4 linked regions of the Anolis sagrei genome follow. The protein of the gene in region 1 interacts with the protein of each later gene in a pairwise test. Links are inferred from orthologs where the notes say so. Each region holds a gene or a part of one and is shown in the gene's direction. Other genes may lie near its edges.

Region 1 (7,065 bases):
GCAGCTTCAAACTGATATTGAAGAAAGTGCATACAAAATTTCAGAACCAGTTTAAGACCCAGATGGTGATTACAAAAGCCACACAGAACTGATGCACATTAAGGGGTTTTTCATGTGCTTTTGTGGCAGTTTGTTGCCTGGCCTCAGCAGTTGGAAGCTAGCTGTGTGTATGTGCTTGCATATAATTCATTTATTTATATCCCGTGTAGCGAAATGTCTAGGTTTTGGGGTATGTTTATTAATATTGGGATATATGGGCTGGTTAGTTAGGGGGTGGCTAGAAGCCCAGGCCATGGTGACATAACTCCCCAGGCAAGAGAGCAAGGGCCGGAGCCAACTGCCACTGAAAAAAAAGAATGTTGATTTGAAAAGGGTCAGTTGGTGGCTGGATGAGCCCAAAGGATGGTTGCTTATAATTATGTGGAACTAGACCAAACAGTTTAAGCTCTAACAGGTAGTCAGGGAAAGAAAGGCTGCACTAAGTAGTGAGCCAGGTATTTGTTCTCCAGTGTGGAGTAGTTAAGAGTAAAAGCCAAATCTGAAGTAACAGGAGTGAGACTGAGAATAGTTTATAAGTCTAAACTGCAGATACTAAAGAGACAGAAGAAAATCTGTTGTTAAAAGTGTAACAGTTATATGTTTTTGGAAGAGTCAAGAATTAAGTGTAACAATAATAAGATAATATGTAACCGCCAAGCATTGTGAACCTGAGAAATCTTCAAACAAATGTTTATATTCAGTTCAGATTCTGAGAATTCAGGTTTATTTATTTAAGAGAAGATTACTCAAAAGAAAAGAAGTTGCAGATTTTGTGAAGTCAAAGATAAACTGGTTGCATTGGATTACACATACTAAAGTGAAATAAACAGGTGTCTTAGAAATATCCCTCTCATATAAGCCTCACCCCCAAATAAACAAAGCCTCATCCTCTACATCAGTGTTTCTCAACCTTCCTAATGCTGCGACCCCTTAATACTGTTCCTTATGTTGTGGTGACCCCCAACCATGACATTATTTTCGTTGTTACTTCACAACTGTAATTGTGCTCCTATTATGAATCCTAATGTAAACATCCGATATGCAGGATATATTTGCATTCACGGGACCAAACTGGGCACAAATATACAATAATACAACCAAATTTGAATACTGGTGGGATTGTGGAGAGGATTGATTTTGTCATTTGGGAGTTGTAGTTGCTGGGATAGTTCACCTCCAATCAAAGAGCATTCTGAAATCCACCAACAACAGAATTGAACCAGATTTGGAACACACACCTCCCATGAACAACAGAAAATATGGGAAGGGTTTGCTGGGCATTGACCTTGAGTTTTGGAGTTGTAGTTCATCTACATCTAGAGAGCACTGTGCACTCAAACAATGATGGATCTGGACCAAACTTGACACAAATACTCAATATGCCCAAATGTGAATACTGGTGGAGTTTGGGGAATATAGACCTTTACATTTGGGAGTTGTAGTTGTTGGGATTTATAGTTCACCTACAATCAGAGTATTCTGTTCTCCACCAAGGACAGAATTGGGCCAAACTTCCCACACAGAACTCCCATGACCAACAGAAAATACTATGTTTTCTAATGGTTTTTGGCGACCCCTCTGACACTCTCTCGCGACCCACAGAGGGGTCCCGACCCCCAGGTTGAGAAACACTGCTCTACATAATTGGTGGCAGCTTCATGAGTTACAGAGATACTTTCATTTCATCCCACTTTATCTCTCCAGATGGGAGACTCAAAGCAACTCACAATCAAAAATATTACAAAAATATACAAAAATAAAACTGTATCATTATATATTGTTTTATATTATCAGTAGTAATTATAATTAATATATTGTTATTATATGCCTTCCCAGAACAAGGACTCCCAAGCAATATGTTCCAAATGCACTTTATGAGAGAGTTAGTACTGTCTGCACGCCCACCTATCTTTAAAATATCCAACCTATTTCCCTGGACATGCCCAGCATTTTAAAATTTTAATTCTTACATTTGGCCCTACCACAGGTTTTTAATTGTGTCGTGTCATTATTGTATTGTTTTGCTTTGTTATGAGTTATTTATTGTTGTATTGTTGTTGTGTTTTGTGATGTATTTGGGCTTGGCCTCTTGTAAGCCGCACCGAGTCCTGCGGGAAATGGTCACGGGGTATAAATAAAGGTTTATTATTATTATTATTATTATTATTATTATTATTACTACTATATTACAATATATGATATTGTATTAGGAGTATATTACATTGTATTATATTATTATATAAAATATATTATATTATTAGCATTGCACATTAGTATTATATACTGCCATATGGTACTATACCACTATACTGCAATATTATTAGTATACCACAATATATATAATATGTGCTGTCGCATGCTGGGCCTGAAATAATGTCTGTTTACAGGACGTGCCTTCTGTATGCTCAACGGGACGCCGGGGTGCCTCAGCTGAAGGGTCCCTTAAATTTCCCAACACAAAGTTCTATTGAGGTTATAGACATCAATGCTAGGCTGTAGATCTGCCAAGCTGAAAGGTGTCCTTTAGTTTCTACACGAAGGCTGTAGGAACTGTCCTGTTGCCCCAGCAAAGGCTGGCTGTATTCCTTCAGCAAAAGCTGTGGAACCTTTCCTTTTCCCCCAGCAGAGCTGTGGATCTATTTCTTTACTCCCCAGCAAAAGCTGTGGAACCTTTCTTTTTCCCCCAGCAAAGCTGTGAGAAGTGAAGCTTTTGTGCAGGTGGGAAAAAGAATCCCACACGTTCTGCTTTTAGGCTTCAAACAGTGAGACTGAACAAAATCCCCCCTTCCCTCCAAAACCATGGGAAAAGGGGCGGGTCTAAAGATTAACAATGATTTTTCAGGTTGCTGGCCCTATGATTGCAACCTGAGGGAAGCTACCTTATTGCAAAATGCATGGCTTAAATAAATTCATGCAAACTAGCAGTGCAAGAAAAGGAATTCAAATCTCCTGGCACTGTTGTGCCAGCACATAATACACTACCATTATTATACTATTAGTATTATATATTGTTCTCTCTCAATCTCACACACACATATACATACGCCCGTATGTATACACACAAATTTATTTATTTATTTGCTTTACTTCTATACCGCCTTTCTCAGCCGAAATGGCGACTCAAGGCGGTTTACATAGTAAAGGTTAACACAACAACATCAAAAAGGCAATTAAAAACACATTATACAAACATATCAAGTCAAAAACAATCATTATCATAGACGTCTGCATTAGTTGTTCACACACTATTTGTTGTTCACACACAGACAGGCACACACTGAAATATAATTATGGGTAACTATATGCATATAGTACATGTTGTTGTTCATTCGTTCAGTTGTCTCCGACTCTTCGTGACCTCATGGACCAGCCCACGCCAGAGCTCCCTGTCGGCCGTCACCACCCCCAGCTCCTTCAAGGTCAGTCCAGTCACTTCAAGGATGCCATCCATCCATCTTGCCCTTGGTCGGCCCCTCTTCCTTTTTCCTTCCACTTTCCCCAGCATAATAGTCTTCTCTAGGCTTTGCTGCATATAGTACATAATTATGTTTAATTGGGATATACTGTGTGTATGTGTACACACACACACACACACAAATTTGGAATATTCAAACACAAAAATATATTTCCAAAGAATACAAATATTCACTGACATCCCCATATAAGTTCATATACAGATAGGTACACACTGAAATATAATTAAAGTAACTCAGGCCCCTTCCACACAGCTGAATAAAATCCCACATTTTCTGCTTTGGACTGGAATATATGGCAGTGTGGACTCAGATAACCCAGTTCAAAGCAGATACTGTGGGATTTTCTGCCTTGATATTCTGGGTTATGTGGACATGCCCTCAGGCACAACTCCAGAGCGCGTTCTGCAGATCACCTCAAGGAAAACGAGGCAGATGGAATCCATATGTATTTGAAAACTACTTTCCTAGAGACTTCCGGGTGTCAGAACTACAGTCCCCATGATGCAACGCGGCTCAGAGAGCGGCGGCTTCCGGTCTCGCAGCCCAAGCGCCTGAAATGCCGATGAGCCGGGTCAGGGTGGAGGGTGATCTCGCGATCGCTTCCGGGAAGAGGCTCTTTCGCTTCTCGAGGCGCTCTTCCGCTGGAGGAGGGGCCGATGAGCGCCTGCGGGGATGGACGAGGACGGGCTGCCACTCGTGGGTTCGGGCATCGACCTCACCAAGGTACCGGCGGCTGCAGGGCCCTGGTTGGCCTCTCAAGCCAGGCCTCGCCTTCCCCAGTGATGGATGGGCTCCGGGACTAAGCCAGGCAGGGTCTCAACCAGGCCTGGGCCAACTGGGGCCTTCCAGTAGGCTGTTAGGAATTGTGGGAGTTGAAGTCCAAAACACCTGGGGGGCCCAAGTTAGGCCAAGGCCTGGTCTATCATGTCAGTTGCCCTTCCTGTCTTTCTCTTTCTCCACTTGTTCATATTCCTTTCCTTCAGAGTCACTTTGATCTCATGTTTGTGTATTGTTTACAAGTGTTATGGCAGAAACACAATGCCCCATATTTATTGCAGGCTGCATTTTATCTTGTTGATACAGGCCTGAGCAAACTTCGGCCCTCCAGGTGTTTTGGACTTGAACTCCCACAATTTCTAACATCCTACTGGAGGGCCCAAGTTGGCCCAGGCCTGCTCTATCAAGTCAGTTTCCCTTCCCTTCTTTCTCCTTCTCATATTCCTTTCTTTCAGAGTCACATTGATCTTATGTTTGTGTATTGTTTACAAGTGTTATGGCAGAAATACAATGCCCCATATTTATTACAGGCTGCAGTTTATCTTGTCGATACAGGCCTGAGCAAACTTGGGCCCTCCAGGTGTTTTGGACTTCAACTCCCACAATTTCTAACATCCTACTGAAGGGCCCAAGTTGTCCCAGGCCTGGTCTATCAAGTCAATTTCCCTTCCCGTCTTTCTCCTTCTCATATTCCTTTCTTTCAGAGTCACATTGATCTCATGTTTGTGTATTGTTTACAAGTGTTATGGCAGAAACACAATGCCCCATGTTTATTGTAGGCTGCATTTTATCTTGTTGATATAGGCCTGAGCAAACTTGGGCCCTCCAGGTGTTTTGGACTTCAACTCCCACAATTTCTAACATCCTACTGGAGGGCCCAAGTTGGCCCAGGCCTGGTCTATCAAGTCAGTTTCCCTTCCCTTCTTTCTCCTCCTCATATTCCTTTATTTCAGAGTCACATTGATCTCATGTGTGTGTATTGTTTACAAGTGTTGTGGCAGAAACACAATGCCCCATATTTTATTGCAGGCTGCATTTTATCTTGTAGGTACAGGCATGGGCAAACTGGGGACCTCAAGAGAGATATTGACAAGCTGGAATGTGTCCAGAGGAGGGCGACTAAAATGATCAAGGGTCTGGAGAACAAGCCCTATGAGGAGCGGCTTAAGGAGCTGGGCATGTTTAGCCTGAAGAAGAAAAGGCTGCGAGGAGATATGATAGCTATGTATAAATATGTGAGAGGAAGACACAGGGAGGAGGGAGCAAGCTTGTTTTGTGCTTCCTTGGAGACTAGGACGTGGACAATGGCTTCAAACTACAAGAGAAGAAATTCCATCTGAACACGAGGAAGAACTTCCTGACTGTGAGAGCTGTTCAGCAGTGGAACTCTCTGCCCCAGAGTGTGGTGGAGGCTCCTTCTTTGGAAGCTTTTAAACAGAGGCTGGATGGCCATCTGTCAGGGGTGATTTGATTGCAGCATTCCTGCTTCTTGGCAGGGGGTTGGACTGGATGGCCCATGAGGTCTCTTCCAACTCTTTGATTCTATGATTCTAGGTGTTTTGGATTTCAGCTCCCACAATTCCTAACAGCCAGTAGGAAGTTGAAGTCTAAAACACCTAGAGAGCCCAAGTTTGCTATGTTATTACAGGTTTAGCATTCATTATCCTGAAATCCCAAATACTCCAAAGTCTTGTCGAAGGCTTTCATGGCTGGAATCACTGGGTTGTATGTGCTTGGCTAAAAACTGTCAGGCCATCAAATGCTAATCAAGGTGGCCAATTTGAACATTCACATCTACCTCCAACAGACAAGAGTTTTTTCTCCCACCCTGGACCTTCCATAGATATATAAACCCAATGTTCCTAGTTTCCAACAAACCTCACAACCTCTGAGGATGCTTTCCACAGATGCAGGCAAAATGTCAGGAGAGAACATGGCCATACAGCCCGAAAAACCTACAACAATCCACTCCAAAGTCCTTCGGCTGGGAAAGTGACACCTTTCCTTTCATAGAATTTGGGCCATCCAGTCCAACCCCCTGCCAAGAAGCAGGAAAATTGCATTCAAAGCACCCCTCACAGATGGCCATCCAGCCCCTGTTTGAAAGCTTCCAAAGAAGGAGCCTCCACCACACTTCGGGGCAGAGAGTTCCACTGCTGAACGGCTCTCACAGTCAGGAAGTTCTTCCTCATGTTCTGATGGAATCTCCTTTCTTGTAGTTTGAAGCCATTGTTCCGCTTCCTAGTCTCCAGGGCAGCAGAAAACAAGCTTGCTCCCACCTCCCTATGACTTCCTCAAATATTTATACATGGCTATCATGTCTCCTCTCAGCCTTCTCTTCTTCAGGCTAAACATTCCTGAAGAAGATGGTTCTTGATGGTTCAGTGTACACAAACTGTTTCATGCACCAAATTATTAAAAAAAAATGCATAAAATTACCTTCAGAATATGTGTATATAAAATATAAATGCATTTCTGTTTATACTTGGATTTGGTCTGAAAGGTGTTTCCTTCTGCTATGTGTGCATATACAAATAATAATAATAACTTTATTTGTTTCCCACCCCATCTCCCCAGAGGGACTTGGGGCGGCTTACAAGACAACAACTATACAAACACGAGCAGCATAGAATGTACAACAAAAATCAAAACAGTACAAATGTTTGCCAAAAGAAATAAAAAAAACCATAACAATTGAAGTTTAACATAAAACATGTAAAATCAAAATAAAATAAGCAGTAAGCATAGCCAAAGATTTAAAGTTTGAAACCAT
Region 2 (7,693 bases), on another chromosome or scaffold:
AGCAGTGGAACTCTTTGCCCCAGAGTGTGGTGGAGGCTCCTTCTTTGGAGGCTTTTAAACAGAGGCTGGATGGCCATCTGTCAGGGGTGATTTGAATGCAATATTCCTGCTTTTTGGCAGGGGGTTGGACTGGATGGCCCATTAGGTCTCTTCCAACTCTTTGATTGTATGATTCTTTAGGGGTCACTTTCAAATCTATGATACTATATCTGTGTGTGTGTGTGTGTGAATCAAATCTATCTATCTATCCTATCTATCTATATCTATGGCTGGATGGCTCTTTGTCAGGAGGACTTTGATTACGTTTCTTGCCCTGATGAAGGGAGTTGGTTTGGATGGCCTTAAGTATTTTCTTTTGGTCATGGGGGTTCTGTGTGGGAAGTTTGCCCCGATTCAGAATGCCCTTTAATTATAGGTGAACTATAAATCCCAGCAACTACAACTCATAATTTTTGAGTGATGGTCACTCCTTGTGTTGTGAGACGTTTTGTTGCCAACTTTGGTGTGATTTCGTTCATTGGTTCTTTTATTTTTAAGGTACTTATTATGCAGAGCATTTTATATATATACTAGCGGTCCCCTGCCACACGTTGCTGTGGCCCAGTCTGGTTGTCTGGAAAATAACATAATGAGAAAGTGCTGGCTTCTAATATATGTAATTTTTTTATGCTTGTGGGTAACCAGTATTTCTTGCTGTTTCTTTGCCAGTGTTAATGTGGAGATTGTCTGGTTTGCCTCCTCTGGAACAGGCAACATATCATAGTCCTTCTTTAGAGGTCCCTTTCAGATCTTTGATACTGCATCTGTCATATACATATTTATTTATTTATTTATTTGCTTTATTTGTATACCGCATTTTTCAGCCTATATAGGCGACTCAATGCGGTTTACATGGTACAGGTTATCACAACAATGTCAATGCAATTAAAACACAACAATTACAACAACAAAATCAATAGCATCAATCAACAACAATTAACAAATCAAACATCGCCTCTGTGAAATCAGATCCGTTCTCATAATCCTTGTGCCATTCCTATGTTCCATTTACCGTCTTCCTATGTTCGGTTGCACTGTTTAACCAAACGCTTGTTCATAAAGCCAAGTCTTGACCTTTCTCCGAAACACCAGCAACGAAGGTGCCTGTCTGATGTCTGCTGGTAAGGCATTCCATAGCCGAGGGGCCACCACTGAGAAGGCCCTGTCTCTCGTCCCCGCCAAACGCGCCTGCGATGCAGGCGGGACCGAGAGCAGGGCCTCCCCAGACTATCTTAATGTTCTAGTCGGTTCATAGGTGGAGATGCGTTCGGAGAGGTAAGTGGGGCCAGAACCGTTTAGGGCTTTATAGGCTACAAGGCAGCACCTTGAATTGTGCCCGTGTGTGTGTGTGTGTGAATGGCTGGATGGCCCTTTGTCAGGAGGGCTTTGATTATGTTTTCTTGCCCTGGTGAAGGGAGTTGGACTGGATGGCCTTAAGGCAGCATTTCTCAATCTGGGAAGTCAAGACCCGGGGGGGGGGGGGGGTCACCAAGGGGGTGTCAGAACGGTCACCAAAGACCACCGGAAAACACAGTATTTTCTGTTGGTCATGGGGATTCTGTGTGGGATGTCTGGCCCAATTCCATTGTTGGTGGGGTTTGGAATACTCCTTGATTGTAGGTGAAGTATAAATCCCAGTAAGTTCAACTCCTAAATGTCAAGGTCTATGTCCCCCAAACTCCATCTGTGTTCATATTTGGTGTATTGAATGCTTGTGCCAAGTTTGGTCCAGATCCATCATTGTTTGAGTCCACAGTGCTCTCAGGATGTAGGTGAACTACAAGTCCCAAACTCAAGGTCAATGCTCACCAAACCCTTCTACTGTTTTCTGTTGGTCATGGGAGTTCTGTGTGCCAAGTTTGGTTGAATTCCATTGTTGGTGGAGTTCAGAATATTCTTTGATTCTAGGTGAACTATAAATCCCAGTAACTAGAACTCCCAAATGTCAAGGTCTATTTTCCCCAAAGTCCACCAGTATTACATTTGGGCATATTGAGTATTTGTGGCCAGTTTGGTCCACATCCATCATTGTTTGAATCTATAGTGCTCTCTGGATGTAGGTGAACTACAACTCCCAAACTCAAGGTCAATGCTCACCAAACCCTTCCAGTATTTTCTGTTGGTCATGAGAGTTCTGTGTGCCAAGTTTGGTTCAATTCCATTGTTGGTGGAGTTCAGAATGTTCATTGAATGTAGGTGAACTACAAATCCCAGCAACACAAATCCCATGGCCATGCAGTCCTGCCAGTGGCCACGGGACCTTGAAGACGTCTACGGACAACGCCGGCTTTTTGGCTTAGAAATGGAAGCGAGCACCAGAGTCGGACACAAGTCTATTCACATTTGCATGCTTTTAAACTGCTAGGTTGGCAGAAGCTGGGACTAACAGCGGGAGCTCACCCCGCTCCTCGGATTCAAACCGCTGACCTTTCAGTCAGCAAGTTCAGCAGCTCAGCAGTTTAACCTGCTCATACACATCACCTTTTGGTACTGCTCCATTATCCGAGCGGAGATCACTAGGGGGAGCTAGAGAGGGTCCATTTTACAAAGGGGGGTACAGCAAAATCGTGGAGGGCCACCTCACCTAGCAACAGCCAATCTGATGACATCATGGAGGGCCACTGCACCTAGTAACCGTCCCTTCCTTCCCTTGTCCTCACAGGCGCCACCTTTCTTTCCCAGTGACACCCTAGAGCAGTGGTTCTCAACTTTCCTGATTCTGCGACCCCTTAATATAGTTCCTAACGCTGTGGTGACCCCTTCAACCATAAAATTATTTTTGTTGCTGCTACTTCATAACTGTAATTTTGCTACTGTTATGAATCGCCATGTAAATATCTGATATGCAGGATGGATTTTCATTCACTGGACCCGATACTCCCAAATTTGAATACTAATGGGGTTTGTGGTGATGTGTGTGGGGGGTGGGGGGTGTTGATTTTGTCATTTGGGAGTTGTAGTTGCTGGGATTTATAGTTAACCCACATTCAAAGAGCATTCTGAACTCCACTAACGATGGAGTTGAACCCAACTTGGCATACAGAACTCCCCACGGCCAACAGAAAATACTGGAAGGGTTTGTTGGGCATTGACCTTGAGTTTGGGAGTTGTAGTTCACCTACGTCCAGAGAGCAATGTGGACTCAAACAGTGATGAATCTGGACCAAACTTGTCACGAGTACTCAATATGCCCAAATGTCAACACTGGTGGCATTTGGGGAAAAATAGACCTTGACATTTGGGAGTTGTTGTTGCTTGGCTTTATAGTTCATCTACAATCAAAGAGCCTTCTGAATGAGAGAATTGGGCCAAACTTCCCACACAGAACAGAAAATTCTGTGCTTTCTGATGGTCTTTGGCGACTCCTCTGACACCCCCTCGCGACCCCCCCAGAGGTCCTGACCCCCAGGTTGAGAAACGCTGCCCTAGAGGGTCACTCCATCCAGCAACAGCCAATCCAGAGACACCGCGGGGGACACGTCACCAAGCAACAGCTCCTCTTGTCTTTTCTCCTCGTTCACGCGTCCCTTTCCTAGTGACACCCCCGAGGGCCACTTCACCCAGGAAGAACTAGTCCCGTGAAAACTCAGCGGGCCACTCCACCTAACAACAGCCAATCCAGTGACATTACGGAGGGCCACTGCACCTAGTAGCCATCCCTTCCTTCCCTTCTTCTCACAGGCGCCACCTTCCTTTCCCAGTGACACCCTAGAGGGTCACTCCACCCAGCAACAGGCAATCCAGAGACACCGCGGGTGGTGACACTTCATCTAGCAACAGCTCCTCTTGCTTATTCTCCTCGTTCACACGTCATTTTCCTAGTGACACCCCTGAGGGCAACTTCAGCCAGGAACAGCTACTCCCGTGACATCTCAGAGGGCCACTCCACCTAGCAACGGCCTTTTTTGTTGTGACGGATAGAGAGAGACAGGCATGCATTGGGTTCTGCAGATGCAGGTAGATTTGCCTTGCTTAGAATCATAGAATCAAAGAGTTGGAAGAGACCTCATGGGCCATCCAGTCCAACCCCCTGCCAAGAAGCAGGAATATTGCATTCAAAGCACCCCTGACAGATGGCCATCCAGCCTCTGTTTAAAAGCTTCCAAAGAAGGAGCCTCCACCACACTCCGGGGCAGAGAGTTCCACTGCTGAACAGCTCTCTCAGTCAGGAAGTTCTTCTTCCTAATGTTCAGATGGAATCTCGCTCCCTCCTCCCTGTGGCTTCCTCTCACATATTTATACATGGCTATCATATCTCCTCTCGGCCTTCTCTTTTACAGGCTAAATATGCCCAGCTCCTTAAGCCGCTCCTCATAGGGCTTGTTCTCTAGACCCTTGATCATTTTAGTCACCCTCCTCTGGACACATTCCAGCTTGTCAATATCTCTCTAGAATTGTGGTGCCCAGAATTGGACACAATATTCCAGGTGTGGTCTAACCAAAGCAGAATAGAGCATGGGTAGCATGACTTCCCTGGATCTAGACACTAGGCTCCTCTTGATGCAAGCCAAAATCCCATTGGCTTTTTTTGCCACCACATCACATTGTTGGCTCATGTTTAACTTCCCAGAATGCACCACCGCTCTCTTCCTCCCTCCCCCCTCCCTCCCCCTTTCCCGGATCTCGCGAGATCTCCCGAGAGCGAGGCGGGGACTGCGGGGCAGAGGCCGGAAGCGAGAGAGGACAGTGCCATGGCGGAGGCAGACTCCAAGACCGTGCAGGAACTCACCGCTGTGGTGAGAAGGGGGAGGGGGTCTCGGGGTTGCCATGGGGACGGGACGGGCAGGCCGAATGGGTGGGAGGGAGGGAGGGTGGGGGCGGGGCCACCCGGTCGCCACGGAGACCTGGTTGCTATGGAGACACAGGCAGGAACGGAGGCCTCTGGTCGTCTGGGAGTATGTAGGCCTCTTGGGATCCCTATCTATCTATCTATCTCTATCTATCTATCTATCTATCTATCTATCCATCTATGGATATATCTGGGTTGTTGTAGGTTTTTTTGGGCTATATGGCCATGTTCTAGAGGCATTCTCTCCTGACGTTTCGCCTGCATCTATGGCAAGCATCCTCAGAGGTAGTGAGGTCTGTTGGAACTAGGAAAAAGGATTTATATATCTGTGGAAAGACCAGGGTGGGACAAAGGACTCTTGCCTGCTGGAGCTAGGTGCGAATGTTTCAACTGACCACCTTGATTAGCATTTGATTGCCTGGCAGTGCCTGGGGGAATCTTTTGTTGAGAGGTGATTTGATGTGCCTGATTGTTTACTCTCTGTAGTTTTTTTTCTGATTTTGAGTTTTTTAATACTGGTAGCCTACAACACTGGAGAAATTACACTGTTTAGCCGGTATTGCACCACCTGACATCCGCCAGGAAGTAGCAGCCAATAGTGAAAGGACCAAGGAAGAGACATCTCTACCTCATCCCCAGTTTGGGTATCAGCCAGCACGTCAACGACTTCAATCTAGAAATAGTTTTCTAAGATCTACAGAGACACTCGCTGGAACACCTCAGCAAGCAAGAGTCCAAAAGTGGCAGGCTCAAACCCGGAACCTCAACCAATGGCTGATACCAAATGAGAGACTCCCCCCTGGGCACACAGAAGACTGGGCAACTTGGAAGGTGCTGAACAGACTGCGCTCTGGCACCACGAGATGCAGAGCCAACCTTCAGAAACGGGGCTACAAAGTGGAATCCTCGGCATGTGAGTGTGGAGAGGAGCAAACCACTGACCACCTGCTGCAATGCACCCTGAGCCCTGCCACATGCACAATGGAGGACCTCCTTGCGGCAACACCAGAAGCACTCCAAGTGGCCAAAGGACATTTAATCAACTACCAAACTCACAAATTCTGTATTTTGTCTGCTTGTTTGCTTTGTTCTGTTAGAAATGTAATATAATTGACTGGTTGCCCTGACACGACAAATAAATAAATCCTCAGAGGTAGTAAGGTCTGTTGGAACTAGGAAAATGGGTTTATATATCTGTGGAATGACCTGGTGGGACAAAGGACTCTTGTCTGCTGGAGCTAGGTGTGAATGTTTCAACTGATCACCCAGATTAGCATTTGATTGCCTGGCAGTGCCTGGGGCAAACTTTTGTTGAGAGGTGATTAGATGTCCTTGTTTGTTTCCTCTCTGTTGTTTTGCTGTTGTAATTTTAGAGTTTTTTAATACTGGTAGCCAGATTTTGTTCATTTTCATGGTCTCCTCCTTTCTGTTGAAATTGTCCACATGCTTGTGGATTTCAATGGCTTCTCTGTGTAGTCTGACATGTTGGTTGTGAGAGTGGTCCAGCACTTCTGTGTTCTCAAATAATATGCTGTGTCCAGGTTGGTTCATCAGGTGTTCTGCTATGGCTGACTTCTCTGGTTGAAGTAGTCTGTAGTGCCTTTCATGTTCCTTGATTCGTGTTTGGGCAATTCTGCTGCGTTTGGTGGTCCCTATGTAGACTTGTCCACAGCTGCATAGAATCATAGAATCAAAGAGTTGGAAGAGACCTCATGGGTCATCCAGTCCAACCCCCTGCCAAGAAGCAGGAATATTGCATTCAAATCACCCCTGACAGATGGCCATGGTATACGGTAGACTCCTGCAGAAGTGAGAAGATCCCTCTTGTCCTTTGCTGAATGGAGCATTTGTTGGATTTTCTTGGTGGGTCTGTAGATAGTTTGTATGTTGTGTTTGCTGATCAGCATCCCTATGCGGTCAGTGGTTCCCTTGACATCTAATCACCTCTCAACAAAAGTTTGCTCCAGGCACTGCCAGGTAATCAAATGCTAATCAAGGTGATCAGTTGAAACATTCACACCTAGCTCCAGCAGGCAAGAGTCCTTTGTCTCACCCTGGTCATTCCACAGATATATAAACCCATATTCCTAGTTCCAACAGACCTCACTACCTCTGAGGATGCTTGCCATAGATGCAGGCGAAACGTCAGGAGAAAATGCCTCTAGAACATGGCCATATAGCCCGGAAAAACCTACAACAACCCAGTGATTCCGGCCATGAAAGCCTTCGACAATAAATGGATATATCTCTCTGTGTTCCCCCAAACTTCACCAGAACATATGGGGGGTCTGGGTACCAAGTTTGGTCCAGGTCCATCATTTGTGGCAGTCGCAGTGGTCTTGTAAGAGACTACAAATCCTATTATCCATAGTCCACCCTCCCCAAACCTAAAGTGGGCCATGCGGTGTCTGTTTCCCAAGTTTGGTCCAGGCCCATCATTGGTCACAGAAGTCTCTGAAAGTGGGTGAAGATATTGCAAATCCCATCATCCATGGTCTGGCTTTTCCCAAACCTCATCAGGATGTGAGATGGGTCATGGGGGGTCTGTGCAACAAGTTTGGTCCATGTCCATCATTTGTGACAGTCGCAGTGGTCTTGTAAGAGAGTTGCAGGACTACAAATCCTACTTTCCGTAGTCCACCTTCCCCCAAACCCGACCAGGACGTAAAGTGGGTCATAGGGTTCAGCGTCCCAAGCTTGGTTCATATCCATTGTTGGTGATAGTTACAGTGCTGTCTGAAAGTTGGGCTCAATTTGGAAAATAGACATACGAAAACTGACTTTGAATATAAAGATAGATACATATATTCGTGTGGGTACCATTAATTTTATGATGGTGAAACTGAGGAATGCATAAGTTAATTC
Region 3 (6,921 bases), on another chromosome or scaffold:
TCGCCATCCACCTAAGCTCTATCATTGGTACATCCACCTAAAGCTCTACCTATTGAACAGCCACCCAAAATTCTACGGGTTGGACATGCACCTAAATTCTACCTGTTGGGCATTCACCCAATGCTCACCATCCACCTTTGGGACATCCACACGAAGCTCTACCTGTTGTGCATTCATCTAAAGCTCTACCTGTTGGATGTCCACCTAAAGTTCTACCTCTTGTGCATTCATCTAAAGGTCTACCTGTTGGACGTCCACCTAAAGTTCTACCTCTTGTGCATTCATCTAAAGGTCTACCTGTTGGACGTCCACCTAAAGTTCTACCTGTTGGACATGCACCTAAAGCTCTACCTTTGGTACATTCACCCAAAGCTCTGCCTGTTGGACATTCACCCAAAGCTCGCCATCCACCTAAGCTCTATCATTGGTACATCCACCTAAAGCTCTACCTTTAGTACATTCACCTAATGTTCTACCTGTTGGACATCCACCCAAAGCTCACCATCCACCTAAGCTCTATCTGTTGGGACATGCACTTAAAGTTCTGCCTGTTGTGCATTCATGTAAAGGTCTACCTGCTGGACATGCACCTAAAGTTCTACCTGTTGTGCATTCATCTAAAGTCCTCCCTCTTGAACGTCCACCTGTCCCTATTAAAGAACCTCTAATATACCCTTCCTCTTCTCCTTTTCTAACCTTGCCTGAAAATGGAACAGGGCTCCAAAATCAATTATCCCCGCCCGCCCGCTCCACTTCCTTTCCAGGCACTGACCCACCAAACACAAAATCAATCCCACCCTTTAATGCCTCCCCTCCCTCCCGCTCTCCGGGGCCCGCCCGCCTCGCTTTGGGCGTCCTCCTCACCCGCCGCCTCTTTCCTTCCTCAAAACGCCGAAGGGGTCGCGGCCGTCGCTCTCCGAGGCCTCCGAAACTCCCCGGGCTGAACTGAACCGTCTCCCGAGCGGGTCGGCGCGCCCTCCGCGTCCCCAGCCCAACCGAAGGGCGGAGCTCGAAGCTCTAGCCTCCAGCAACAGGCCGCCCTCGCCAGTCAGAAACTTCCGCCTACAAATCCCGGCATGCCATCGCGTCGCAGCGCTCCTTACGCAATCATAAACGGACGAGGATGACGTTACGTATGACGTCATCCGCCTCGTTCCCTCGCTTCCTCCCCAGCCAGGCAAAAGGAGTCGAAGGCAGAGCTATCGAGCGCCATTCAAATCCACTTTATCGGCCCTCTGCTTTTCTTTTCAAACATTAATAAAGACATGTTATATATATATATTTAAAAGCACGAAAAATACGCACAGACACTTTGATGTCTTTGAGGGATCCTCAAATATTTTACAATATTTGAATGGGAAATACAATACTTTTACAATATTTTAATGGTTTTACAATATTTTAATGGAAAATTATACCAAAGGGCTTCATTATTATTTCTTAAAATTTTTCAAAGCAATAATGGAATGTATTTTTATTATGTTTCATATTTATTGTATGATTTTTATTTTTTAATGTTTCATATTATATATATATATATATATATATAATTTATATATTTATTTTTATATTATATTTATATACTTATTTTATTATGTTTCATATTAATAATAATAATAATAATAATAATAATAATAATGTGTTGTCGAAGGCTTTCATAGCCGGAATCACTGGGTTGTTGTAGGTTTTTCGGGATGTCTGACCATGTTCCAGAAGCATTCTCTCCTGACGTTTCGCTCACATCTATGGTAGGCATCCTCAGAGGTTGTGAGGGCTGTTGGAAACTAGGAAAAATGGGTTTATATATCTGTGGAATGATGTCCAGGGTGGGAGAAAGAACTTTTGTCTGTTGGAGGCAAGTGTGAATGTTGCCATTGGCCAGCTTGATTAGCATTTGAAGGCCTGACAGTTTTTAGGTGTGGCTTCTTAGTGCCTGGGAGAATCTTTTGTTGAGAGGTTTTTTATTTATTTATTGTGTCATCAGCAACCGTACCATTGTATTACATTTCTAACAGAACAAAACAAACAAACAGATAAAAAAAACCCAAATTTTGCAAACTTGGTAGTTGATTAAATGTCCTTTGACCAGTATCTGGCCACTTGGAGTGCCTCTGGTGTTGCTGCAAGAAGGTCCTCCATTGTGCATGCAGCAGGGTTCAGGGTGCATTGCAGCAGGTGGTCAGTGGTTTGCTCTTCTCCGCACTCGCATGTCGTGGATTCCACTTTGTAGCCCCATTTCTTAAGATTGGCTCTGCATCTTGTGGTGCCAGAGCGCAGTCTGTTCAGCGCCTTCCAAGTCGCCCAGTCCTCTGTGTGCCCAGGGGGGAGTCATAGAATCATAGAATCAAAGAGTGGGAAGAGCCCTCATGGGCCATCCAGTCCAACCCCCATTCTGCCAAGAAGCAGGAATATTGCATTCAAATCACCCCTGACAGATGGCCATCCAGCGTCTGTTTAAAAGCTTCCAAAGAAGGAGCCTCCACCACACTCCGGGGCAGAGAGTTCCACTGCTGAACGGCTCTCACAGTCAGGAAGGTCTTCCTCATGTTCAGATGGAATCTCCTCTCTTGTAGTTTGAAGCCATTGTTCCGCATCCTAGTCTCCAAGGAAGCAGAAAACAAGTTTGCTCCCTCCTCCCTGTGGCTTCCTCTCACATATTTATACATGGCTATCATATCTCCTCTCAGCCTTCTCTTCTTCAGGCTAAACATGCCCAGCTCCTTAAGCCGCTCCTCATAGGGCTTGTTCTCCAGACCCTTGAATATAGGGTCTCAATATAGTGGGCTTTTTTGTTGCTGTTTTCAGGGCTTGTTTTCCAAAGTGTTCCATGTACAAATTAGCTATGGGGGCTCCCCATAGCTACTCCATCTTTCTGTTCATAGAACTCATTGTCCCACTGAAAGTAGCTGGTGGTGAGGCAATGGTGAAACAGAGCACAGAAATGCTGGACCACTCTCACAACCACCATGTCAGATTACACACAGAAGCCATTGAAATACACAAGCATGTGGACAATTTCATCAGAAAGGAGGAAACAATGAAAATGAACAAAATCTGGCTACTAGTATTAAAAAAAACTCTAAAATTACAACAGCACAACAACAGAGAGGAAACGAACAAGGACATTTAATCACCTCTCAACAAAAGATTCCCCCAGGCACTGTCAGGCCATTATATGCTAATCAAGGTGGTCAGTTGAAACATTCACACCTAGCTCCAGCAGACAAGAGTCCTTTGTCCCACCCTGGTCATTCCACAGATATATAAGCCCTTTTTCCTAGTTCCAATAGGCCTGCCATAGATTGAGGCGAAACGTCAGGAGAGTATGCCTCTAGACCCGAAAAAACCTACAACAACCCAGACCTCACAACCTCTGAGGATGCCTACCATAAAAGTGGGCGAAACGTCAGGAGGGAATGCTTCTGGAACATGGCCAGACAGCCTGAAAAACCTACAACAACCCATTATTATTAATTTATTATTATTATTATTATTATTATAGGAAAAATCCTGTGCACTTCTACTCCAAAGCTTCATCTGAACATTAGGAAAAACTTCCTGACTGTGAGAGCCGTTCAGCAGTGGAACTCTCTGCCCCGGAGTGTGGTGGAGGCTCCTTCATTGGAAGCTTTTAAGCAGAGGCTGGATGGCCATTTGTCAGGGGTGATTTGAATGCAATATTCCTGCTTCTTGGCAGGGGGTTGGACTGGATGGCCCATGAGGTCTCTTCCAACTCTTTGATTCTATGATTCTATGATTCATTGGGACAAAGGGGGCCTCTCGATCCCCCTTCCCCTTCTTTCTGATTTGGACTCTTCCAATGGGAACTACACTTCCCACAATGCAAAGCGCTCCTTTGGATTCTCTGTCTCCTCCCCCCATTGGACGAATGGTACGTTCCAATGGGGCGGGGCTGATGCTGTCGCCGTGGCAGCGCGGGGAGGGGGCCTGGAGGGCAGGTAAGAGCCTGGGGATGGTGGAGGGTGCAGTCCAAAGCCCCCAATTGAATACAAGAGGCCTTGGTTGCCGGGAAGGACCCATCCAGGCTTTGAACAGGAGATCACAAAGCCCATTCCAGCCTTTCCCAAGGCTCTAGGGGTCTGGGCTGATGGGTGGTGCAGTCCAATGTCTCTATAGAGCAGGGGTTCCCAACCTTGGGCCCTCCAGGTGTTTTGGACTTCAACTCCCAGGTATCCTAGCCAACTTAGCAGCTGTTAGGAATTGTGGGAGCTGAAGTCCAAAAGGCCTAGAGGACCAAAGGTTAGGAACCCCTCCTCTATAGAGAAGGATCCATTTATTCTGGGAAAGGGAGGCCACAAAGCTCAATTCTACCTTTCCCAAGGCACAAGGGCATCTGGGGATGATGGGTGATGCAGTCTGACATCCCTATTGAGGGCAGTAGGCACTCACTGTAGGGAAGAACCCATTATGTTGGGTAAAGGAGGGCATGCGTACCAAGTTTGGTCCAGATCTATTATGGGTGACCATGACAGGTTTGAATCGACTCCAATTCCCATCGTCCTCTATCAATTCTTGCCAGTTTTTAAAGTTGTTCCAGGTGTGAATGTGGGCCAACTTCAACCCAGATCCATTTATTTATTTATTTATTTACGACATTTATATGCCGCCCTTCTCACCCCGAAGGGGACTCAGATTGGCTTATAAGATATATATGTATATATATACATACATACAATATATTATATTATTAGCATAGTACAATATCAGCATTGAACATTGCTATATTGCACCATACCACTATATCGTAATATTATTAGTAATATTAGAATGGAGCATTCTCGGATGGAGGGCGATTAATAAGTTATTAAATGATGATGATGTAATATAAATATATAATTATAATATCATATTATTATTACATTGCATTACATTATAACATTTCTCCCATGGGGAGAAAGGTGGGGTATAAATAAAGATAATAATAAATTATAAATTATTATTATTAAGGTGGGGTATGAATTATTATTATTATTATACTGACACCAAACCACAGTATGTCACAGCAAATGAGATATATGTGCTGGATTTCGTATCACAAAATCACAAACCAAACACTTCCCACGCATCTAGGACTGTGTGATGTATTTTCAAATGATGCGCGCAGATCCAAGTCAGGTGGCCTTTTGCAGTTGACAGATCGTGATTTTGTCGCTATCAAGACCTCAAAATCGAACTGCAAAGGCTCTGGCATAAACCACTCCAGGTGGTCCCAGTGGTCATCGGCGCACTGGGTGCCTGCTGAGATCTTTTGGCATGGCACCCAGTGCGCCAATGACCACTGGGACCACCTGTACTGGTTTATGCCAGAGCCTTTGCAGTTTGATTTTGAGGTCTTGATAGTGGCTGAATTTTTCGTGTTGTTTTTCCTCAATGCGACTGTCACCTGGTATGGCGACATCAATAACATTTTCTTTTCCACAATCGTGATGTCTGGTTATTATCATCATCGTCATCATCATCATCATTATTTGAAACACAACAAGATGAGTCCACAGCAGACTCAGAGCGGCTTACAAGGTATATATTACATACAATATGTAATATATACCTTGTAAGTATATTACAAGGTATATTGTAATTGTTGAATTGGATCACACGTCGGGCACTTCCCAAGTGTCTAGGACTGTGTGATGTATCGGTGAATAATGCGTGTAGATCCCAGTAAGGTGGCCGTCTGCAGATAGCAGATGGTAATTTTGTCAGCGCCGATTGTGTTTAAGTGCAGGCCAAGGTCTTTAGGCACTGCACCCAGTGTGCCGATCACAACTGGGACCACCTTGACTGGCTTGTGCCAGAGTCTTTGCAGTTCGATCTTTAAATCTTAATATCGTATCAGCTTTTCCAGTTGTTTCCCTTCAATCCTGCTGTCGCCTGGGATTGCAACATCGACAATCCATACTTTGTTTTTTAACATGATCGTGAAGTCAGGAGTATTATGCTCCAAAACTCTGTCTGTCTGAATCCAGAAGTCCCAGAGGCGTTTGATGTGTTCATTCTCTGTAACTTTTTCCGGCTTGTGATCCCACCAGTTCTTTGTCACAGGAAGATGGTGTTTGTGGCACAAGTTCCAATGGATCATCTGAGCAACGGTGTTGTTCCTCTGCTTGTAGTCTATCTGCGTGATCTTGCAGCAGCTGAGGATGGGATCGATTGTTCCATCTGCTTCCTTGCAGAGTCTACACTTGGGATCTGTCGTCAACTTTTCAATTCTGGCTTTGATGGCTTTGGTTCTAACGGCTTGTTCTTGGGCTGCCAGAATCAGGCCCTCCTTTGTCTCCTTTTTCAGAGTTCCATTTGTGAGCCACAGCCATGATTTTACTTTGTCAATTTGGCTCTCAATTTATGCCAGGAATTGTGCATGGAGAGCCTTCTTTTGCCAGTTTTCTCTTCTGCTCTGGATTGTGTTTTTACAGTATTCCCTCTTTGTCTTTTGCACTTGAAGCAGTTTACTACTAACTTTCCTCAATGTTGGTTCTTGACTGCCTTTCACATCATCTGCCAGTGTGTGTTTCTCTTCTTCTACTATTTGTTTCCCTTGCAGAAGCCCTCTCTCTGCCTCCTGATTTTCTGGGCAGGTAAAATCTGTCAACATCACTACGCGGGTGTCATGAGGAGTGGATTGTCATCAGCTTTCTTGTTTTTCTTTCCAAATCATCCGGCTCTGCGTGTGTCCAGTTCATAATAATAATAATAATAATAATTATTATTATTATTATTATTATTATTATTATTAAAGGTGGTCACAGTGGTGACTGGCACACTGGGTGCAGTGCCTACAGACCTTGGCTTGCACTTAAACATAATCTGCGCTGACAAAATTTCATATGCCAGCTGCAGAAGGCCACCTTACTGGGCTCTGCACGCATTATTCACCATTTTAAATTCTCTGTGTTATTAAAT
Region 4 (6,875 bases), on another chromosome or scaffold:
CTTGGAATGTGTCTCTTTTCTTTTTCCATTTGCCAGAACATTTAGCAAAGATCTCCTGCATAGCCAATCAGAACCAATTGTGTTTCACTCATTCATTTCCAGGAATCCTCAGTGGTTGGCTTGCAGTAAAAAGAGAGATGTTGTCCGATTGCTTTAGTCTGCTAATAAGAGGGGAAAATAGTCCCAAAGAAAGGTCTTTCTAAAAACATGTCACCATAAAATTGACATTCAATCTTGTTGAACAGGAGGGCATTTTTGCAGTCTCCACTTGTGTTATATTACTTGTTTGCCATTGTTGTGTGTCTTCGTATTGCTTCTTACTTATGGTGACTCAAAGGGTAAACTTATCATGGGTTTTTCTTGGTAAGATTTGTTCGGAGGAGGTTTGCCATTGCCTTCCTCTGAGAGAGTATGGTATGCGTACAGCTGGTTTCCATGCTGAGTGGGGATTCAGACTGTGTTCTTCCTGAGTCGAACACAGAAACCACTGCATCACAGAAACCACTGTAAGTACTCATACTGAATCAATCATCTGCTATTTATTTAATTGTCAGCACTCACTTAAGTGAATAAATGTTGATGTCCTACAAAAACAATTACTAGCATACCTTCTGGAGGGGGGTGTTATTAATCCACCTGTTTATACAGTCCAGTGTTACTTATCTGCTGCCTAATCAATCAGCTGCTCTAAAGCTGCACTGCCTGGCTATCTGAGTGACGTTCAGTAAAGAACGTCTTTCAGATAACCACATGAGATATTATTGACAAGTCTTGCTTGTGTTGACTCTTAGGTTGGGTCAAGTAATAACTTCTTCAACATATTTGAATGAACTTTGGTTTTTAATTTGAGACTTGTCCAATTCAAGTTGCATTCCTTGAAAACCACTGTTTATTAAAATCTGTTGAAGAAGTTATTACTTGCCCCAAGCTAAGAGTCAACACAGGCAAGACTTGTCAATAATACCGCATGTGAGCGCTCCAGCTGGAGGTCAGCTGTGACCAGCAGTACTGCAGAATTTGAAGAGGCACGAATGGAGGGCGAAAGAGAGAAATGTGCCAAAAGGGAGGCGCGTCAAGCCAATTCCAACTGGGACCGCCTTCCACCTGGAAACCAGTGCCCTCACTGTGGGAGACGATGCAAATCAAGAATAAGACTCCATAGTCACCTACGGATCCACCCTGGAGGATTATCCTACTCTGACAATGAGAGATCGCCTAAGTAAGTAAGGCTCCTTAGGTATTACTGACTTGCAACTCACATCACTCTTAGCTGGCATGGCCAGTGGTGAAGGATTGTGGGAGATGCAATATCAATACACTTGTAGACCCACAACTGCTCATTTCTGTTTAATAGGAAGATAATAATAATAATAATAATAATAATAATAATAATAATAATAATATTTTTAAAAACCCTTTATTTATTATCCACCCTATCTTCCCGGGAGGACTAAGGGTGGTTTTCAACAAAAGATGGCAAACATTCATTGAGCCAAGACATCAACTAGAGTTCTAGTGATTCTCCTCCTCCTCTGTTTTTTCCAATAATAATAATAATAATAATAATAATAATAATAGCTCCCATTTTTTACTTGTATTAGCAATAAAATAAAATATCTGCCTGCTCCAGGTTATCCTGCTACCATATTTGAGCAATGTATGTATATGCTGTAGCTCCCAAATGTATAATAAACCCTTAGCAATTTATAGATCTAGATTTTTATTGGTTTTTTACATTTCCCCCAAAACAGCATTTAATACTAGAGAAGTGTCCTGAAAATCACAAGATAAACTTTGAGATGGGGCTAGCAATGTGCAAGGATAATTTAAACACGTGGCATAAAACTGTAATTGAAGACTGAGTTTTTCATATTGATTGAATCATTGTCACAGGTTGACAATGTATGCAGAACAACCGAAACTTAGTCCTTTTGTATTTTCATATGAGCAACACAAGCAGAAGGAAAACATAAATTTTACTCTTCTGCAGCAGAATTCAAAAACCAGTAACATTAACACAAACTTGCAGTATTGCATCAATACAGTCACAGTCCCTCTGGAGTAACACACTCAAGTATAGTCCTTACACTTAACTCATGCAATTTTTCCCACAGAAAATATGTATCTTCCAATTTTCCTTTCTTGGACATGGAGACAAGCAGAAAAGATAAACTTGCCTGCATCAAATAAGCCAGGAGCGAACGCAGGGTAAGATCAGGAGCAAACATTCAGTAAGCCCAAAGTTGAATTACAAACACTTCCCAGTTATACCCCTTCGGGAGTGGCCTAAATTGGCTGACCTTAAAAATCCCATTCACCCAAGCTGTATATTGTAATTCACCAAGGTAAGTTTTTTTTTCTATTAACACACACACATACCTGGTAGTGATCTCACTAAAACCTACTTTAACAGTGAGTCTGTTAAAGGCTCCTCCCTAAACTACAAATCCCAGAATTCTGCAGGAATTCTTATTATCATGGGGGAAAGGGTCTCTAATGAAACTTTATCACCAATCCTTGTATCCACGAGCCACATTTTTCAAGATCCAACTATCACAGGGACAGAAAGTGAGGTGAAATCTTCTGAACGGGAACAGACAACAAAACAAATGTCATAAGGGTGTTAACGCTTCCCTATGCTATCCAAAGATAGAGAGATAAATAGATCCTGGATTTACACTTTAAAAACGTGCCAAGTTTACATACAAATTCAACTTAAGAACAAACCTACAGAACCTAACTTGAGGGCTACTTGTATATACTAGCTTTGGATAGCATAGGAAAGGGTGAACATCCCTGTGGTGTTCGTTTTGCTGTCTGTGCCCCTGATCAGAAGATTTCACCGCCTTTTCTGTCCCTCTCATAATTGAATTTGGCTTGTTGTGGAAACAAGGCTTGGGGATAAAGCTTCAGTGAAGGAACCTTTTCCCCGTGATAACTCTTCCTGAGGGAACGTTGGGAAGATTTCTCTCACTTCCTGTTGTCTCACCTCCATTCTTAACTAGGAGTATGCAAGTTGTATGTAAGTCAGATGTATGTAACTCAGGGATTACTTGTCTCCATGTTGAGACAATGGCTATGTATCACTGAGGGGATAAACAGGGGCCGAGCGACATGTCCTCCAGTGAATAAGTGCTGCCAAAAGCCCACGGCTCCCCTTCCTTCCTTCCTTCCTTCCTTCTTTCCTTCCTTTTTCCCTTCCTTCCTTCCTTTTTCTTTCTTTCTTTCCTTCTTTCTTAATTTCTTTCCTTCCTTTTTTCCTTCCTTCCTTTTTTCTTTCCTCCCGCCCTTCCTTTTTTCCTTCCTTTTTTCTTCCCTCTCGCCCTTCTTTTTCCTTCCTTCCTTTCCCCTCTTCCTTCTTTCCTCCCTCCCTCCCTCCCTTATTTCTTTCCTCCCTCCCTCCCTCCCTTCCTTCCTTCGTTTTTCCCCTTCCTTCCTTTCCCCCCACCTTTCTTTTTCCTTCCTTCCTTCCTTCCTTCCTTCCTTCCTTCCTTCCTTCCTTCCGTCCGTCCTTCCTTCCGTCCTTCCTTCTTTCTTTCCTTCCATCCTTCCCTTTTTCCATCCTCCCTCCCTCCCTCCCTGCCTTTCTTCCTTCCTTCCATCCATCTTTCCTTCCTTCCCTTTTTCCTCCCCCCTCTTCCTTTTTCCTTCCTTCCCTCCATCAGTCTTTCCTTCTATCCTTCCCTTTTTCCTCCCCCCTCTTCCTTTTTCCTTCCTTCCTTCCATCAGTCTTTCTTTCTTTCCTTCGATCTTTCTTTTTTTCCTTCCTTCCTTCCTTCCTTCCTTCCTTCCTTTTTCCTCCCTCCCTCCCTCCCTCCCTCCCTCCTTGGAGGAGCCCTGCCTCGGCTGCTCTCTGAAGAATGCTGAGAAGCGACAGTTGGAAAAAGGCGGGAAAACAGCAAAGAGGGTTGGGGATGGAAAATGGCTGGAGCTGAAGGAGAAAATCGTAGCATCACTATGGAGGGAAATGATCCCGGTGAGACTGTACAACTGGAGAAATACACAATAGAAACCTAAATACACATCATGGGAACTAGAGAAGGTATTCAGAACTGGTGGCCATATTCTCCTCCTTGGGCCCCGTCACCTGACCAGGAATTTAAAAGCTAGCAACTCCAATATAAGAGCTAAGACTTCACAGCCAGTAGGAATTGTGGGAGTTGAAGTCCAAAACACCTGGAGGGCCAAAGTTTGTCCATGCCTGAACTAGAAGGACATTATTCATTTTCACGAAAATTATAATTAAGAAGCAGGTGAACACATGTAGAAAGAGAGTTTCATATTTTGGGCACTGCCAAGTCGCTCCGGGGTACAGAAACAACTGTAGAAAACAGAGGCCCTGAAGGTGCCCTCAGTTGCTCGGGTCCTTGGAATTTAATAAAAGTATTATTGTTATGTTCATTCTTTACAGTGTGGTTCTCAGCCTCATAGCAATATGAAGTAGACCACAATTTCCAATATTACAGATGGATTGCACTGAGAAGGGCGAGCCCCCGGTGGCGCAGTGGGTTAAACTCCTGTGCCGGCAGGACTGAAGACCGACAGGTCGCAGGTTCGAATCCAGGGAGAGGCGGATGAGCTCCCTCTATCAGCTCCAGCTCCTCATGCGGGGACATGAGAGAAGCCTCCCACAAGGATGATAAAAACATCAAATCATCCAGGCGTCCCCTGGGCAACGTCCTTGCAGATGGCCAATTCTCTCACACCAGAAGCTACTTGCTCCTGTATAAGCAAAGTTATACAAAGCCTATACGATCCCTAGATTTCAATGTGTCTGGTTGAAGAAAAAATTGGGTGACAACAATAAATTCTGTTTCTGCTTTTTCTCTCTCTCCAGATCCCTGGGACTTTTCATCAAAAATGGAGGAGATACTGTCACTTGTGAAACAAATGCAGAATGGTATTTTGAACTTAGAAAGATGACGAGAGTAATGTTCAGGTGTCGGATCGTAAAGGAATGGGAAGAAGTGTTGTCCTTCATGCCAATCCCTTACTATCTGCACAGCCCATGTACACTTTTAACACTGGCTGAAATAAAATAACCGGCCACCACATCTGGGGGAAACAGGCAGCAGGCTAGCTTATGTGGCACACAGAGGATGCCATATGGTACAGGACTCTCTCCTAATGCATTGTGATGGCTTCTCTGCTTCAGCATCTGTCCCCCAAAACAGCCATCTCACTCTGCCATCTGCCTAATCATATAGTCCTACTAGAGCATCTGCCCTTGCCATGTATGCCTGTACACTGGTAAGAGGCAACTCATTTAGCCCAAGAGACTCATACAAACATCATGTTGCATCATTTATCTTGTGCTTCACGGACAACATACACCACTTTGTGCATGGTGAATACATATATAATGACTTGAAAATTGTTTAGAAGTCAGCAGTGGCTAATGGGTCCCATGTGGCTCTTAGAAAATTAATGTTTGGCTTCTGAACAGAGAGCAAGAAAGCACAGATTTGAGCAGAAATCAGTAGAAGGGAAAGTGGTACGTTGTTTAGGGGCTGTGGCAAAAATATAATGGAATGGAGGCTGAGGTCAGATGAAAGTTCTTGGAAGAAAAATTAGTAGTTGATCTAGGGAGAAACAAGAAGTATGGTATAAAAATTATTAGAGTTTTATTTATATTGCTTGTGATAAGGATTCTGAGTTAGATACTGGCCCTTGATAAATAACATACAATTATATGTGAGGGCAAGATCAGAGTATTTTTCTATTAGCCATTATAGTTGTCTTAGGAAGTAGGTGCTATAAGGTAAAGAGTTTCATCACAATGTTGGGAGGACAGAGCTTTAGAGTCCAGGCACTCTGTGGCTAGCACTGCTCATGCTAGCCTGGTACCTTCATGTGTGGTGAAGGATGTCATTACATTGCAAGTGCCAAAGATTTTACTGGGTTATTGTAGGTTTTTTTGGGCTATAGCCATGTTCTAGAGGCATTCCCTCCTTACGTTTCGCCTGCATCTATGGCAAGCATCCTCACTACCTCTGAGGATGCTTGCCATAGATGCAGGCAAAACGTCAGGAGAGAATGCCTCTAGAATATGGCCATGTAGCCCAAATAAACCTACAACAACCCAGTGATTCCGGCCATGAAAGCCTTAGACTATACAAAGATGTTACTATCTGTTTGATTGGCCGTTGTACCTGGAAGGAAGATGTGTGTCATTGTTCCTTTCACCTCAGTTGGCAAAGTGACTTTGACATTGAGATTGGTACAAACTGTAACTTTTAATGTATTTTAATGTATTGCTTTTTCCTTAACCATAGCATGTATAATTCAGTTTTCATTTGATTTCTACTTGATTTTATAGTCGAGAGTTTGGAGCCAAGAATTGAAGACCTAGTTAAAAGGATCAATACATTGCAGCAAGGTAAAAGAAAAAGGCAGGGATTAACTATATTATTTACATCTCAAAATTAAGCCTTTGCTAAGTAAGCTATATTTGTAGCAGTGGTTACCAGGTCTGCACATCGCGATGGCTCTTGCAGTGCAAAAGCTGAATGTTCCCAGATGTGGTTTCCAAAAAGAGAGTAATCTGCAATCCTTATGCCATTCCCCCATTTTAAAGAAAGAAGCAAAACCAACATTTTGAGGTATCTCTTCTTACTCCTGTTCCATTCCTGAATGCATAGTTTCCTCCCATCTCCTCCTACACACATATGTTATAACTCAATGAGGATCATATTTGTAATTAATATTTTTCTAGTCTCTGTTCCCTTATTCAAATTATACTGAATAGACTTTATAGTAAGGATAGATAAAGCATAGCCCTGGATGGCCCTCCTGCATGATTGTACATAATATCCCCAGTCAATTTTTTCAGATGTGGACTTCTTCAGACTTTTTCAGATTGCAACTTCTGTGGG

The links.
Region 2: the proteins of WASHC3 (region 1) and HSBP1 interact in binary tests that used the Homo sapiens proteins (3 or more experiments, as listed by UniProt). The two-hybrid records come from large-scale screens. The link is inferred for Anolis sagrei from reciprocal best matches to the Homo sapiens genes WASHC3 and HSBP1.
Region 3: the proteins of WASHC3 (region 1) and IFT20 interact in binary tests that used the Homo sapiens proteins (3 or more experiments, as listed by UniProt). The two-hybrid records come from large-scale screens. The link is inferred for Anolis sagrei from reciprocal best matches to the Homo sapiens genes WASHC3 and IFT20.
Region 4: the proteins of WASHC3 (region 1) and synaptonemal complex central element protein 1-like interact in binary tests that used the Homo sapiens proteins (3 or more experiments, as listed by UniProt). The two-hybrid records come from large-scale screens. The link is inferred for Anolis sagrei from reciprocal best matches to the Homo sapiens genes WASHC3 and SYCE1.

Annotation. Positions count from the first base shown.
Region 1 is NC_090025.1:171,511,925-171,518,989, forward strand, and holds the start of WASHC3 (WASH complex subunit 3), read left to right. Parts: upstream 1-4,064; 5' UTR 4,065-4,187; coding exon 4,188-4,238; intron 4,239-7,065. UniProt on the Homo sapiens protein: Acts as a component of the WASH core complex that functions as a nucleation-promoting factor (NPF) at the surface of endosomes, where it recruits and activates the Arp2/3 complex to induce actin polymerization, playing a key role in the fission of tubules that serve as transport intermediates during endosome sorting.
Region 2 is NC_090028.1:22,965,872-22,973,564, reverse strand, and holds the start of HSBP1 (heat shock factor-binding protein 1), read left to right. Parts: upstream 1-4,668; 5' UTR 4,669-4,730; coding exon 4,731-4,775; intron 4,776-7,693. UniProt on the Homo sapiens protein: Negative regulator of the heat shock response. Negatively affects HSF1 DNA-binding activity. May have a role in the suppression of the activation of the stress response during the aging process.
Region 3 is NC_090031.1:25,687,710-25,694,630, reverse strand, and holds the start of IFT20 (intraflagellar transport protein 20 homolog), read left to right. Parts: upstream 1-3,896; 5' UTR 3,897-3,959; intron 3,960-6,921. UniProt on the Homo sapiens protein: Part of intraflagellar transport (IFT) particles involved in ciliary process assembly. May play a role in the trafficking of ciliary membrane proteins from the Golgi complex to the cilium.
Region 4 is NC_090022.1:193,715,830-193,722,704, forward strand, and holds the start of synaptonemal complex central element protein 1-like, read left to right. Parts: upstream 1-3,859; 5' UTR 3,860-3,921; coding exon 3,922-3,976; intron 3,977-4,837; coding exon 4,838-4,900; intron 4,901-6,319; coding exon 6,320-6,379; intron 6,380-6,875. UniProt on the Homo sapiens protein: Major component of the transverse central element of synaptonemal complexes (SCS), formed between homologous chromosomes during meiotic prophase. Requires SYCP1 in order to be incorporated into the central element.